Callithrix jacchus: one gene and its partner. The protein of the gene in region 1 purifies or fractionates together with the protein of each later gene. This does not show direct contact. Links are inferred from orthologs where the notes say so. Each region holds a gene or a part of one and is shown in the gene's direction. Other genes may lie near its edges.

Region 1 (7,088 bases):
TCATTTGTTTTTGATGTATCATCCCTGTCTATTTCTTTAAGCAAAATACTCAAGTTTCAAAATCAGATTAGGAAATACAGGGTATTTTCTAGCATAAGGTCATTATATTGCTTAATATAACTCAGTCGCTTATCAGATTATTGCCTTAGCACGTTGAAATTTATGATTAGGTTAATGCTATAGAAAGATTGATCCAATATTTTCATTGTTGTAATGTACCTTTCTATAGTATTTTCAGAAAAATTTAATTTCCCAATATTCAGTAAATTAAATCACCATGTTTACACAGATACATGGGGAAATCAATAATAAAAGATTGCTTACTATATGTCTGGCACTCTACTGATTAAATACTTTAATGGTATTTAACCTAATAAATTAGTTTTTAAATAAATACTTAAATAGTTAATAGTATTTAAATAGTTTAATTATTAACTTGCTTAATATCACACAGCTAGTGGGTGGCAGTCAGTACTTAAATGTGGATTTTTGTGACTCAAAGACCTATATTCTTAACTGCTGTTTTGTTAGTCTGTGATTTTTGTGAGATTTTATGATAGCTCTCTTTCATTATCTGACTCTTCGATTTACAGTCAAATAAACTTAATTGTTAAAAATGTCATCAATGCTTGAGAAATTTCTGATCTTAAATTTTTATCAATTTATGTAGGTGTGTATTTAACATTTATATACTGTTTGTTATCTAGTATTGAAGCTGCTTCTGGTGGTAAAGCTGAAGTTATCACTTGTGATGTACTCTTAGTTTGCATTGGTCGACGACCCTTTACTAAGAATTTGGGACTAGAAGAGCTGGGAATTGAACTAGATCCCAGAGGTAGAATTCCAGTCAATACCAGATTCCAATCTAAAATTCCAAAGTAAGTTGGACAGTTGTCTGCGTTTTCAGTAATTTTAAAATTGATTTCAAACAGTGTTTCGAAAAGTAAGACTTGTATGCTTAAAATATGTCTTGGCTTTGGGGAAGAATAGTAAACTTACAAAATGTAAAATCAAAAAATAATTGAAGTTTTCCTCAAAGATGAGAAGGTGAATTCATAGATTTTTGAAGAGTTGCATTTGATTTATCTTTTGGTGACTTATTTACTGGAAACTTTTACTTTTGTTACCATGATGTAACTGAAGATAAGTAGCTGTGATTTCAGAAATTCATTTTGTTTCTTTTGATTTCTGTGGTAGTATCTATGCTATTGGTGATGTAGTTGCTGGTCCAATGCTGGCTCACAAAGCAGAGGATGAAGGCATTATCTGTGTTGAAGGAATGGCTGGTGGTGCTGTGCACATTGACTACAATTGTGTGCCATCAGTGATTTATACACACCCTGAAGTTGCTTGGGTTGGCAAATCAGAAGAGCAGTTGAAAGAAGAGGTAACTCTGAACGTGGGTGGTTTTACCCTAGTGTGTGAGTTGTGCCAGTGACAATGGTGGTTGAGAAACAGCATCTTATTACATTAATATATTTCACAGCTGTGAAATATCATTGTTTAGCTTATATGTTTTTCCCTTGTTAGCATTATAAAGAGATTGTTCACAGATTTTTCAGCAGTAATTGAGAGGAGGAGAAGTTGCCTGTATTAAAAAACTAGTAATTCCAAATCTTTTATATTTGGCTTTGAAATATAACCAGATGGACAGACATTTGTATTGGCTTGCATTTGTGCCCAAGATATAGTTCATTAACTATATCTTCATTAACAAGACCTTTGGGTCTTGTATGTACTTTGTGTACAGTTGCCTTCTTGGGATTTATTTCTGATCAAATGGTAGATGATTTTACAAATTGGAATGAACTCTTCCAGCACTTACGTAGATTCTTTTTTTATGTCTCTCACAGGGTATTGAGTACAAAGTTGGGAAATTCCCATTTGCTGCTAACAGCAGAGCTAAGACAAATGCTGACACAGATGGCATGGTGAAGATCCTTGGGCAGAAATCGACCGACAGAGTACTGGGAGCACATATTCTTGGACCAGTGAGTATCGTAAAACCAGAGAAATCCATAAGATTTCTAGAAAGCATTGCTGTTTATTAATTGTAAACCACCTGTTGTTATTTGGAGGTTACTCATTTCCAGCAAAACTTTTGAATATGGCCTCTCTGTGTATCATTTCTAGAAGGATACCAGCAGCACTCTCACAGTCTTGCCCACTGTATCATCTGGTTTCTATACTGGAGCCAAGATTCTGTCTTTAAAATATACACCGGATTATGCCCCTAAAATCCTCCAGTGGTGCTTTTCAACTTCAGATTGTTACATACAGCGCCTCACTGAATCTGTTTGTGCCTACATTTCTGACCTCTTCTCTTTCTCCTCTCCTTTGCTGATTAATTCTGTGTGACATGGACCTTCTCTCATTTTCACAAGAGGCCAAATGTTTGAATTTTAGGGCCTTTGTGCTTGAGGTACCCTCTGCTTAGACTGTTGTGGCTCCACATCTTTGAATTGCTGGCTCCTTATTGTTTAGGTCTCATCTCAAATGTTACCTCCTAAGGGAAACCTTTCCTACCACTGAGGCTAAAGTATGTTATCTTTCTTGTAGATATCTCCTGTATCTGATATAACAATAAGGAGAATAGAATATTTGAGTGCTCACTGTGTCACTTTAGTATACATTTTGTTATTTTTACAACAGCTTTGTGAGATACATGCTGTTATTTTTGAGGTGAAGAAACTGAAGGAAGCACACAGAACCAGTGAATGGGTAAAGTAGTAAATGGTAGATACGAATCGAAAACCATTTGGCTCCAAAGCCCAGGTTCTTCTGTGTCACCTTTTCTGTTGTTTTTTCTGACTTTCTTTCAGCTGATACAGAAACAGATTTAAGGCGATTTTCAGATCTAAAAGCTTCCTCTCTTAACCATTGCTATCCTATTAGCATGTAGTTTTTGTCATGGAAGCAAATTTACTTGGCTTGTTATTTTAAAGGGTGCTGGAGAAATGGTAAATGAAGCTGCTCTTGCTTTGGAATATGGAGCATCCTGTGAAGATATAGCTAGAGTCTGTCATGCACATCCGGTAATTATTAACAACATAAAGAATTGATGGTTGCCTGAATTTTCTTCTAACCCACAAATACTTGGTTTTTAATTCTAAATTTCTTCCCTTGCAGACCTTATCAGAAGCTTTTAGAGAAGCAAATCTTGCTGCGTCATTTGGCAAATCAATCAACTTTTGAATTAGAAGATTATATATATTTTTTCTGAAATTTTCTGGGAGCTTTTGTAGAAGTCACATTCCTGGACAGGATATGCACACAGCTCCAAGAATTTCTAGGACTGAATTATGAAACTTTTGGAAGGTATTTAATAGGTTTGGACAGATGGAATACTCATATCTATATTTTACATATATTTAGTATTTTGTTTCAGTGCACTCATATGTAAGACAAAAAGCTACTTACTGTACCTGGAATATCTCCGTCAACTCCTATTTTCATGCTGTTCATGAAAGATTCAATGCCACTGAATTTAAGTAGTTTTTTTTTCTCTGATATAGAAAAGTTGAATTTTACACAGATGGAGCTAGAATTTGATCTTTGAACAGTTGTGTTTGAAGCAAAGTGATCAAGATATTTTTAATTTGGTTTTCATATTGGAAACAAGTCAGTCATTCAAACAAGATTCAGCTGTCTATAAACCAAATAATGTAAGTCAAAAAGGGTCTCTCACTTATTTAACCCCTAAATTCTTGCAGTTAAGGGGTAGAATTTATGTGTTTAAGAGGTTTTTAAGATTCCATTGTTGTCTATAACTCTGAAGGGTAATTATATAGTTACCCAAATTAAGAGAGTCTATTTACAGGACTCAAATATTACGTGTGGATTCAAATGTATTACAATGGGGAATGAAGATACTGAAATAAACGTCTTAAATATTCATTTATTGGTTGTTATGAGTACGTGTTGAGATGGTTGTAGTTTTTTTTTCTTTTTATGACTACCTCTAGTGTATGTTCTTATTTCTTTTGTAGGCCTGAATGTATCTTTATTTTCATGTTATGTGACAATATTAAGGTATTTTAAAGTCATTGTCCTTTCATCTATTTTAGAGACACCTAGTAAATGTTTAACATATGCTTTTGGAGAAGTACAACATAAGGGAGTCTTTAATCTGTTTTCCTTGGCTGGGTAAATGACTTTATTTAAAGAGTATTATAAAGTTGCGTCTATGGTGTTTAAAATGGCCATGTCCTGTGAAACTTAAGTAACAGAGTACTAAATGCTAAGTAGGCTTTTGCATATTATAACTAAATTTAAGAATGATATTCATTAAGTAGTTCTGAAATTTAGTATAGATAGCATAGATTGTCTAATGCTCATTATGAGTGGCGTATAGTAAACACCCTGGATTCTGTTACATACTTCTGAAGAAAATTGATTGTTGTCTTAGTAGGCAGTTAATTTGGCTGAACACCACCTCCAAACCCTGTAGGTGGTAGCAGCTGAAATCTCTTCTCAGTTGTTTTAGATTTACCTATGCTGCTGGAAGTCTTTCCGATGCAAGTGTATAGTTCAGTAGTCAACCAGAGGTTGGGCAGAAGAAAGTCTGCCCCTTCTTTTCCCTCTTATTTTTCTGGGGTTTTCCCCTTTATGTTCCAGCTGTTGTGGTCGCCCCATATTCTGTCCTCTGATCCTTATCCAATAAAACTTGGCTTTTGTTTCCCCCTCAAGTCAAAACCTATTAAAAATGAGACTTTGAGCCAGTGCTGTTCACTTTTTAAGTGCCAGCTCCTCTCTGCTTTTCACCTGTTTATAGTTGTTTTCCAGTGCCTTTACAGTTTTTTCTAAAATGTGTTTTGTTCAGAGTTTGCAGTTGCTGTCAGCAGGAGGGTTGGTCCGATATGTGCTACTTCGCCATTACTGGAAGTGAACGCTGCATCTTTTTAAAAATCTGAAATCCCAGTATCGTGTCAAGTGCTAGTTTATTTAAATCTCAACATGTCTCTTACTCAGGGAAAAATAAGTTTCTAGTTAGGGAGTAGTGAAATATAATTTAACATGGAATCCTAGCTCTAGGGACACAAAATAGTTAAATCCATATTTAAGTGTTTACATTCAATATGAGAATGAAATATATTTGGGTGGGGAATGAAGTCCTAAGAATAAAACAAGTTTTAAATGTTTACTTACTGTTGTCTACTAAGCTCTCAATATTTTCGTGGCTTGTGAAGGCAGATTATCCACTTCATTGAACTGATTAAAATTAGTAATTTCAACTGGCATGGAGCAGTGGCTTACTCCTGTAATCCCAGCAGTTTGGAAGGCTAAGGTAGGTGGATCACTTGAGGTCAGGAGTTTGAGACCAGTCTTGCCAATATGGTAAAACCCTGCTTCTACTAAAAATATAAAAATTAGCCTGGTGTGATGGTAGGTGCCTGTAATCCCAACTACTCATGAGGCTGAGACAGGAGAATCACTTGAACCCTGGAGGCTTAGGTTGCCGTAAGCCAAGATCACACCACTGCACTCCAGCCTGGGGGACAAGAGCGAAACTCCGCCTCAAAAAAAAAAAAAAATTAATTTCAAAGTGAGATCTTTAGTTGTTTAGCTGAAAAGGAATGGGGAGTGTTTCTACTATTTTAAGTAAAATACTTAATATAGTTACTGTAGTAGATGATAAGTTATGACCATTTTGCCAGTTACTAGGATTCTTTTATATATATATATAATATAATGTATATGTTATATACATTATATATGTTATATATATTATGTTAAATATATCAAATATATATATTATATATAAAATATATATAATATATATATATTATATATAAAATATATACTTTAAGTTCTGGGGTACATGTGTAGAACCTGCAGGTTTGTTACATAGGTATACGTGTGCTCTGGTGGTTTGCGATACCCATTAACCCATCACCTACATTAGGTATTTCTCCTAATGCTATTTCTCCCCTGGCCCTCCACCCCTAACAGGTCCCGGTGTGTGATGTTCCCCTCCCTGTGTCCATGTATTCTCATTGTTCAACTTCCACTTAGAGAACATGCAGTGTTTGGTTGTCTGTTCTTGTCAGTTTGCTGAGAATGATGGTTTCCAGCTTCATCCACGTCCCTGCAAAGGACATGAACTCACCCATTTTTACGGCTGCATAGTATTATGGTGTATATGTGCAACGTTTTCTTTATCCAGTCTATCATTGATGGACATTTGGTTTGGGTCCAAGTCTTTGCTCTTGTAAACAGTGCTGCAGTAAACATATGTGTGCATGTGTCTTTATAGAATGATTGATAATCCTTTGGATATATACCCAGTAATGAAATTGCTGGATCAAATGGAATTTCTATTTCTAGATCCTTGAGGAATCGCCACACTGTCTTCCACAATGGTTGAACTAATTTACACTCCCACCAACAGTGTAAAGGGTTCCTGTTTCTCTACATCCTCTCTATCTAGCATCTGCTGTTTCATGACTTTTTAATGATCACCATTCTAACAGGTGTGAGATGGTATCTCAGTGTGGTTTTGGTTTGCATTTCTCTAATGACTAGTGTTGATTAGCTTTTTCCCATGTTGGCTGCATGCATAAATGTATTCTTTTGAGAAGTGTCTGTTCATATCCTTCGCTTTCTTGATGGAATTTTTTTTATTCTTGTACATTTCTTTGTAGATTCTGGATGTTAGTCATTTGTCAGATGGGTAGACTGCAAAAAAATTTTCTCCCATTCTGTAGGTTGCCTGTTTACTTTGATGATAGTTTCTTTGGCTGTGCAGAAGCTCTTTAATTAGATCCCATTAGTTTCTTTTGGCTTTTGTTGCCACTGATTTTGGTGTTTTAGTCATGAAGCCTTTGCCTGTCCTGAATGTTATTGCCTAGGTTCTCTTCTCAGGTTTTTATGGTTTTAGGGCTCAAGTCTTTAGTCCATCTGGAGTTAATTTTTGTATAAGGTGTAAGGAAGGGATCCAGTTTCAGCTTTCTGCATGTGGCTAGCCAGTTTTCCCAACCTCATTTATTAATTATAATCCTTTACCCATTGCTTGTTTTTGTCAGGTTTGTCAAAGATCAGATGGTTGTAGGTATGTGGTGTTATTTCTGAGGCCTCTGTTCTGTTCC
Region 2 (8,084 bases), about 66 Mb from region 1:
ATTACATATGTGGCTCACATTATATTTCTATTGAATGTTGCCAATCTATAGAAGTTTTTGTGTTGCCTGGACCCCCACAAATGGCACCCTATATAGCCTCTCCAAGTAGCCCTGCCCCAAATTATCTCACTGTTGGTGTGTTCCACTCAGTTCTCTCAGTGTATTTCCTGATACAGCAGCCGTCTGGTGAATATAGTCTGCACTGCGAGCGGACTCAGCATTAGCACCTTTTACCTCAGAGGGGTCCTCTTGTGGGGAGTCCAGCAGCAGGCAGCTCAGCCTTTTTTTTTTTTTTTTTAAGACCGGTTCTCACTCTCTGTTGCCCAGGCTGGAGCGCAGTGACACAATCACGGCTCACTGAAGTCTCAACCTCCTGGTATAAAGCAGTCCCCCTACCTAAGCCTCCCGAGTAGCTGGGACTATAGGAGAGCACTACCATGCCTGGCTAATTTTTCTATTTTTTGTAAAGCCGGGATCTCACCATGTTGCCCAGGCTAGTCTTGAACTCCTGGACTCAAGTGATCCTCTTTCCTCAGCCTCTCAAAGTGCAGGGATTACAGGCATGAGCCACTATGCCTGGCCCCAGAAGCTTATTCTTAAACATGGTCTCACAATGGAAAGTTTCCATGGGGTCACTGTCTCCATATCATGCCATGGTGTCACCTCTCGGGGGCCTCTTCAGTACCTTCCTTCTCAAAGAGCAGAATGAGGGGCAGAGGCATTGATGTCCCTATGGCCAACTTCCTCTCTGAATCTTGAATCCCAGGTAGTTCCGATTTCATCATATGAAGGGGTGGAGGGCCTGAAGCATGTTGAAGGCCTGTCTCCCTTTCAGTCCACTTGATGCCAGAGCCCTGGAGTTGGCTCTCATTGTCTGGGACAGTTGGACCTGTACCTTAGGAGTCTCAGGCCATACACCCTCCTGGCCTCAGAGTGGCCCCAACTTGGAAGACTCCATTTCCACAACAGTTTACAGACATTTGCATAAACTCCTCATCTCCCTGCCTGATGGTGATGCTTTACTTACATTGAATGTGTGTGTATGTTAGATTGGTGGTATAATCAGACAGATCTTAAGCTGTTGATCATGTGACATGGTGGTCAATTTGTAGCTGTTTTTAAAAATTAGAGGAGATTCAACTTCTTGGCTTCCTAAAATTTTTCTCATAAGCGGGAAAAGCAAAGAATCAGCCCCTGAAACTTGCTGCCCTTTTCTCCTGGAGACAGAGCCAAGAACAAAGAAAACACAACACGATTCTGTGGCCCAGTAACTACATCTCCAAGTTACTTGCTAAAGTAATACTGATGTTGGAGAGATACTGATTTCTAGAGTTTTTAACCCAATAGTTTCTTTTGTTCAATAATGGAAACTCTGCTGCTGTCAGGTGTAAAAGGGAGAGGAAAGGCATGGGCAGAGCCTGGGCGTAGCACAGTTCTACCAGCTCTGTAATTGGAGACAGCAGTAGTGATGAAGGGAAGAGTTCTTCCCTCACAGCACCCTTCACCCGTTGGCATTTGGGGTCGGGATGATGAGGAGTGGGCAGACAGCCAGTTGCTGGGTTTGCACCACAAGCATGGACCCCATCCAAAGAGGGTGGGTCCTCTTTGAAGGTTCTCATTAACAGCCACTCTGGAGCTGACCTTGTCTTCTTGAATGGGTTTCTGCAGAAATGTAGTTTCTTCTCCTGTTCAGTAGATTGGGCACTGTGGATCACCAAGTGTCTGTAAAGGTGACATGGGACAGTGGACTGATGTCAACTCTGAAGTTAGGGATTGGGGGTGCCCACTACACCCTCTTCTTGGTTTTTTTGTGCATCTAATGTAGAAGTTTATCTTAGTTTTATCTTAGATGTGATTAGAAAATATGGTTTGGGATTGTCTTAGTCCATTTTGTATTGCTATAAAGGAATACCTGAGGTTGGATAATTTATAGTTTATAAAGAAAAAGGGTTTATTTGGCTCACAGTCTAATTGGGCATCTGCATTTGGTGAGGGCCTCAGGCTACTTCCACTCCCAGCAGAAGGCAAAGGGGAGCCTGCTTGTGCAGAGGTCACATGGTGGGAGGGGAAGCAAGAGAGTGAGCCGGGAGGTGCCAGGCTCTTTTTAGCAGCCAGCTCTCCTAGGAACTAATAGAGCAAAAACTTACTCACCTCTGAAGGAGGGCATTAATGTATTCATGAGGGATCCACCCCAGAACCAAAACATCATCCATGTGGGCCCACTTCCAACATTGGGGACCAAATTTCAGCATGAGGTTTGTGGGGGGACAAACAGGGGTTAATAAAAATACCTTAACTACTAGGGTCTTTTCTTTTTTTTTGAGACGGAGTTTCGCTCTTGTTACCCAGGTTGGAGTGCAATGGCGCAATCTTGGCTCACTGCAACCTCCACCTCCTGGGTTCAGGCAATTCTCCTGCCTCAGCCTCCCGAGTAGCTGGGATTACACGCACACGCCACCATGCCCAGCTAATTTTTTGTACTTTTAGTAGAGACGGGGTTTCACATGTTGACCAGGATGGTCTTGATCTCTTGACCTTGTGATCCACCCGCCTCGGCCTCCCAAAGTGCTGGGATTACAGGCTTGAGCCACCGCGCCCGGCCTACTAGGGTCTTTTCTAGCAGCACTTTCTCTTCTAGTTTCTAGGCAAGATTGTTCTTTTGTTGACTTGGATAATAACTAGAGTGTTGCAGTTGGTTAATTTTGAATTCAGGCAAAGTTTGCTTTGTTTCATGATCATGGAGCATGTATGCAGGGTTAGCCCACCCTCTGCAAAGCACAGGGCTGGTCTCAGATTCAGCACATCTTTTAACTGCTCATGCCAGCTGGTCTCATTGTCTGTTGTGAAAACCAAATGTGGTCATAAACGAGAGCTGCTGAGCAGGACCTGACACTCTGAGTACGCTGGCAGCAGTCCCTGCTATAAAGATAGTTAGACGCGGCTTTGGGGTCTGCAGAGTGTCTGTTGGCCCACATCAGGGCCTGTCGCCTTTTTACTCCATGCTGACTTGCAGTTTGCTCTCATCCTTTCATTCTGGTCCTCTAGGGCAGCTGTGCAGGTTGAGCTGTGGGCCTCTACAGGAGCACCAGGCTGAGGGCAGCCTGAGATGGATTTTTTTTTTTTTTTTTGGCAGTCTTTCCTCCTCTCCCGAGGTGGATTTCTAAGAGCCCAGTGCCTCCTCTTGCTCCTGGCCCTCTCTTCCTGGCTTCTTCCCTCCTGAGCTCTGCAGATTGGGTGCTGCCTCCTTGCCTGAGCTGTGGGGTATGAACATGGTGCAGGACATCTTGATCTGCTCAGGATCCTGACTTTTGTCTTATGGGCAGTCTTGCTTCCTGAGGCAGAAGGATCATTTTAGCCGAGGAGTTCAAGACCAGCCTGGGCATCATGGTGAGACCTCATCTCTCCAAAACATAAGGCGGGACGATCACTTGAGTGCAAGAGGTTGAGGCTGCATTGGGCCCAGATAGCGCTACTGCACTCCTGCCTCAGTGACAGAGAGACCCTCCCTCAAACAAACAAACAAACAAAAAGACTGCGAATCGTAAACAGCTATTGAGCCTATGACAGCCTATGGGCATTTCCTGTTATGGATGCTGGCACAGGTCTGACCTTGATGACAGTCTGTCCTCCCTGGGGAAGGACACAGTTCCACAACTGTTGCGGTCTATGCTTCTTGCCACAAAGGTACCAGAGTAGAACTGGGGTTGTTCCTTGTCCTGGCCCTTGGAGGGCTAGGAGGTTCTTGTGTGCAAGTGACCCAGGTCCCTGAAGGAAGCACTTGAAGAGGAGGACCTCTGCCTGGTACCCACTCCGTCTCCCCCTCAGTCATACCTGACTGGGGTACCTTTCAGAACAAGCCTCCTGCTCCCCCTCCCACCTTCTGGCTGAACAGGCAGTCGGTACTCTTGATTCAGCCAGGCCTGGTTAGAAACTCCCTTGCCTGTGTGTTTCTGTATGGAATAGATGGCCTACTGCCAGCACATTGGGGTGGAGTTCATGTTCATCAATGACCTGGAGCAGTGCCAGTGGATCCGGCAGAAGTTTGAGACCCCCGGGATCATGCAGTTCACAAATGAGGAGAAGCGGACCCTGCTGGCCAGGCTTGTGCGGTCCACCAGGTATGGGTCTGGCCCTGGGCCATGGGGCACACATCCCCAGGGAAGCAGCAGCCCTGTGTGTGTTGTTTGGGCCTGTGTGCAGCCTGTTGGTCGAGGTGAGAGGGGCTTTGGGGAGGTATAGGCAAAGCTGCAGCTGCACGTGTCTGAAGAGACACCAGGCAGGTAGAGTCAGCCTTCAGAGCAACCTCCGTCTCCTGAGTTCAAGCGATTCTCTTGCCTCAGCCTCCCAGTAGCAGTGATTGTAGGCACATGCCACTACGGCCAGCTAATTTTTATCCATTTAAGTAGAGATCAGGTTTCTCTATGTTGGCCAGGCTGGTCTCAAATTCCTGACCTCATGTGATCTGTCCACCTTGGCCTCCCAAAGTGCTAGCATTACTCCCAAAGTGCAGTGAGCCACTGTGCCTGGCCCAGAGCCCCCTCTTTTTGGTCAGGAAGAGTGACATTGTTCTTCAAGGTGACTTTATTCCATGTCCAGGTTTGAGGAGTTCCTACAGCGGAAGTGGTCCTCTGAGAAGCGCTTTGGTCTAGAAGGCTGTGAGGTGCTGATTCCTGCCCTCAAGACCATCATTGACAAGTCAAGTGAGAACGGTGTGGACTACGTGATCATGGGCATGCCACACAGGTATGGCTGAGGGCGTGCCCCACCTCCTTCTCACCATCCCTGCAGGGTGTGTAGGAGGCACCAGGTAAAGAACTGAGAGAACAGCTGTTTCCTTCTCAAGTGCCAGTTGTGAGCCTGGGCTCATCTGATACCTGCGGGTGCCTTGTTTTGCAGGGGATTCTCACATTCCCTACCTCTGGAAGACTGCAAAGTCACTGTCACAGCCAGAGCCACGTGTAGTTTCAGACTGGCATTTGGCCTTACATTACATTTTTATGAAAGTTAAACCCAGGTTCCCTTGAGGGTTAAGCTGGAGGAAAGGCTGCTTCCTGACATTGGAGGGGAGGCCAAGACTTCAAAAATCGGAGATAGTGTGGGGAGGGAGGAGGGTAAGGAAGCCTCAGGCCCATGGCATTTCCACATCTTCTGCCTTTCTGTTGTCCACTGTGGCCTTGATTGTCTAGCACAGAGAGGCTCAGTGCCCACATTAGCTCCAGTTCACAGCATTCTTGGGCTGCAAACCGAGGAGGTGCTGTGTCCTGGAGGAGGGGAAGAGGGTAGGGATTATAACAGCCTCCCCGTCATCTGGAAGCCGTGACCTCGGGCTCTGCTCACTCTACTCGCCCATACGTTTCAGAGGGCGGCTTAACGTGCTTGCAAATGTCATCAGGAAGGAGCTGGAACAGATCTTCTGTCAATTTGATTCAAAGCTGGAGGCAGCTGATGAGGTGAGGCACCTGTGTAGAGACACATCCAGCAGAGCCCCAACTTACACGAGACCCCCGGCTCCACTTCTTTCTCAGAATAACTTATGAGGGGTTGATTCTTCTGTACCATTGTGGTTTGCCTTCCTTGTTGGAAGAATTTTAGTGTTGGAACAAAGGAGGGGGCCACTGTTCCACCTTCTGGTTGGAGGTCTAGCAGCGCCACGCTGAGTGCAGGGGTATATCCCCTCTGGCTGAGGGACCTTCTCCCTGTGCCCTGGGTAGGAATGATCCTGGGAAAAAGCCTCCATATTCTTCTACGTTGGGTTCCTGGGGTTAGAAATCACATATAAGGCTAGGCACAGTGGCTCACGCCTGTAATCCCAGCACTTTGGGAGGCTGAGGCAGGCTGATCACCTAAGGTTGTGAGTTCCAGACCAGCCTGACCAACGTGGAGAAACCCTGTCTCTACTAAAACACAAAATTAATCAGCATGGTGGCACATGCCTGTAATCTCAGCTACTTCGGAGACTGAGGTAGGAGAATTGCTTGAACCTGGGAGGCGGAGGTTGCGGTGAGCCAAGATTGCGCCATTGCACTCTACCTGGGCAACAAGAATGAAACTCTGTCTCAAAAATATGTATATATTTTTTTAAATTCCATATAAAATGGCTCTTTTGGAGACTGAGTGTCTTTTTGTCCAGGGTGCAAATTCACTGTTTACTCCATCAGGGCTCTGGAGATGTGAAGTACCACCTGGGTATGTATCACCGCAGGATCAACCGTGTGACCGACAGGAACATTACCCTGTCCCTGGTGGCCAACCCTTCCCACCTTGAAGCCGCTGACCCTGTGGTAATGGGCAAGACCAAAGCTGAGCAGTTTTACTGTGGGGACACTGAAGGGAAAAAGGTAAGGCCCAGAGAGAGGCGTGCAAGGCAGATCGTCGAGGCCCCATGTTCTAGCACGCAGTTCTGCTCACCAACATAACCCAGAGTCCTGGGTACATCTGGACTTTAAAAAAAATTTAAAGTCAACTTTAAAAGAATAGCAATAGTAAAATCGTCCTGCTTACAACGTGCCTTCTCCTGAAGTTGTAATCATCAGAACTATGTGGGGAGTGTGCTTTTGTCTTCATATCTGTGAAGGAGTCAGGTTTACAGTTATTCTGAATGGACGAAGAGATGTTTTCACTGAAAAGGAGGAGAGTTGGAGAGTCTCTAAGGAGAAAGTGCAGGTTAGCCTGAAGGAGAAATTGTAGAACTGAGACTTGTCAGGAAAGTCAGGCTTGCTCTGATCAGAGGCAGGAGTTCACAGGGCTGGTAGGAGACAGACCAGGGCATAGGCTGCACCTAGGTGGCCTACTTCACCATCTGAGTGCTGGGGGTTGCTTGCCAGCCTGCTTGTGTAGAAATAGTCTCAACAGATTGTAACTGTTTGCCCTTATTTAACCTCAAGATCCAATCTTGTCTAACAAATTTTATAGTTCTCATTAATGATGACTTAAATAATTAGAAAAAAATCAAATATTTGTAAGGTCTCGTATATGGGGTCTGGGAAACAAACAAAGAAGACATCATCACCTTTCTAGAGCCTCCTATTCTTTTTAGAAAAAGGATCATGTGTAAGGAAGCAAATAGCACATACAGAGCATGATAGGAAACTGTGGAGTTAGCCGCCAAGAGCTTTGGAAGAGGTATGCAGGGGTGTGGGCTAGAGTTGGACCAAGGATAGAAAGCAGACCCCCTTATCAGCAGAGCAGGTAGTCGTCATTTTATTTGAGAAGTGGCAGGATTTAGGTAGGTGGGAAGGTAAGAATGTTTTCTGGAGATGAAAGGTTAAGAGCAGAGACGCAGGGTGACTTGGGGACACAAAGCAGGGAGGGGCCAGCCTCCTAGTTGTGCCCCTGGAAAGAGGTCAGATCTATATTAGAAGTGGAACCAATTATTAGTTTACTGGGTTCTGTAATTTTACTACTGTCATGCTTAGAGGGTTAGAGGAAGAGAAACTGCCATCATAGGTAATGGAGTCTGGGCTGGGGAAGTGATCCCCCCGTCGATCAATGCTCGCTGTAAAGAACGAGCGTGAGCCACAGGGACGCAGAGGTCATTCCATGGCTTCAAGCTCATGGGGCCAGGACAGTGTCAGAAACTTCAACTAGATGCAGAGAGGCCTCAGCTCTGTTTGGGGAACCTGCAGCCCCTGCAGGCAGTAACAACACTTGGTGTCTGGGATGGGCTGGCCTGAGGTGAGATTGGCAGGGGGAGACCAGCATTGGGGTGACCAGTGCCTCTGGTATTTCTACCCTCCTTGGCTAGGACACTCACCCAGGCATTTGGGCTGAGGATTGGAATGAGATTACCAAAAACTTAGGTGACTCCTGCATTTGTAGATTTTGGACAAAAATACATTCTAGCAGTATTCAGCTCAGAATGCTGGAAATTTCCCAAAAAGGAATGAAATAATTCGAATAAAAGTATTAGAATATATTTTAAACTGCCACAGATGGTCATACTGATTGGTCCCTTCATGAGATGCCAGGACAGGAGAGGCTGCATGTAGCTGAGTCGGAATTGTCAGTCCCTTTGTTTTCCAGTCTACACAAACCATGTTGTCACAAGTTTGCCCTTGCCCCAGTGTGGATAGTCGCCAGTTCCC

What was found. Proteins that work in one complex are often made in the same cells at the same time.
Region 2: the proteins of DLD (region 1) and OGDH purify together in Homo sapiens (affinity purification with mass spectrometry; 3 studies listed by BioGRID and IntAct, counting the BioPlex papers as one, with this or other methods). This does not show direct contact. The link is inferred for Callithrix jacchus from reciprocal best matches to the Homo sapiens genes DLD and OGDH.

What each region holds. Positions count from the first base shown.
Region 1 is NC_133512.1:78,371,714-78,378,801, forward strand, and holds the end of DLD (dihydrolipoyl dehydrogenase, mitochondrial), read left to right. Parts: intron 1-707; coding exon 708-878; intron 879-1,197; coding exon 1,198-1,387; intron 1,388-1,853; coding exon 1,854-1,991; intron 1,992-2,945; coding exon 2,946-3,035; intron 3,036-3,129; coding exon 3,130-3,195; 3' UTR 3,196-3,897; downstream 3,898-7,088. UniProt on the Homo sapiens protein: Lipoamide dehydrogenase is a component of the glycine cleavage system as well as an E3 component of three alpha-ketoacid dehydrogenase complexes (pyruvate-, alpha-ketoglutarate-, and branched-chain amino acid-dehydrogenase complex).
Region 2 is NC_133512.1:12,756,406-12,764,489, forward strand, and holds part of OGDH (2-oxoglutarate dehydrogenase complex component E1), read left to right. Parts: intron 1-3,963; coding exon 3,964-4,118; intron 4,119-4,596; coding exon 4,597-4,743; intron 4,744-5,359; coding exon 5,360-5,450; intron 5,451-6,158; coding exon 6,159-6,338; intron 6,339-8,084. UniProt on the Homo sapiens protein: 2-oxoglutarate dehydrogenase (E1o) component of the 2-oxoglutarate dehydrogenase complex (OGDHC). Participates in the first step, rate limiting for the overall conversion of 2-oxoglutarate to succinyl-CoA and CO(2) catalyzed by the whole OGDHC.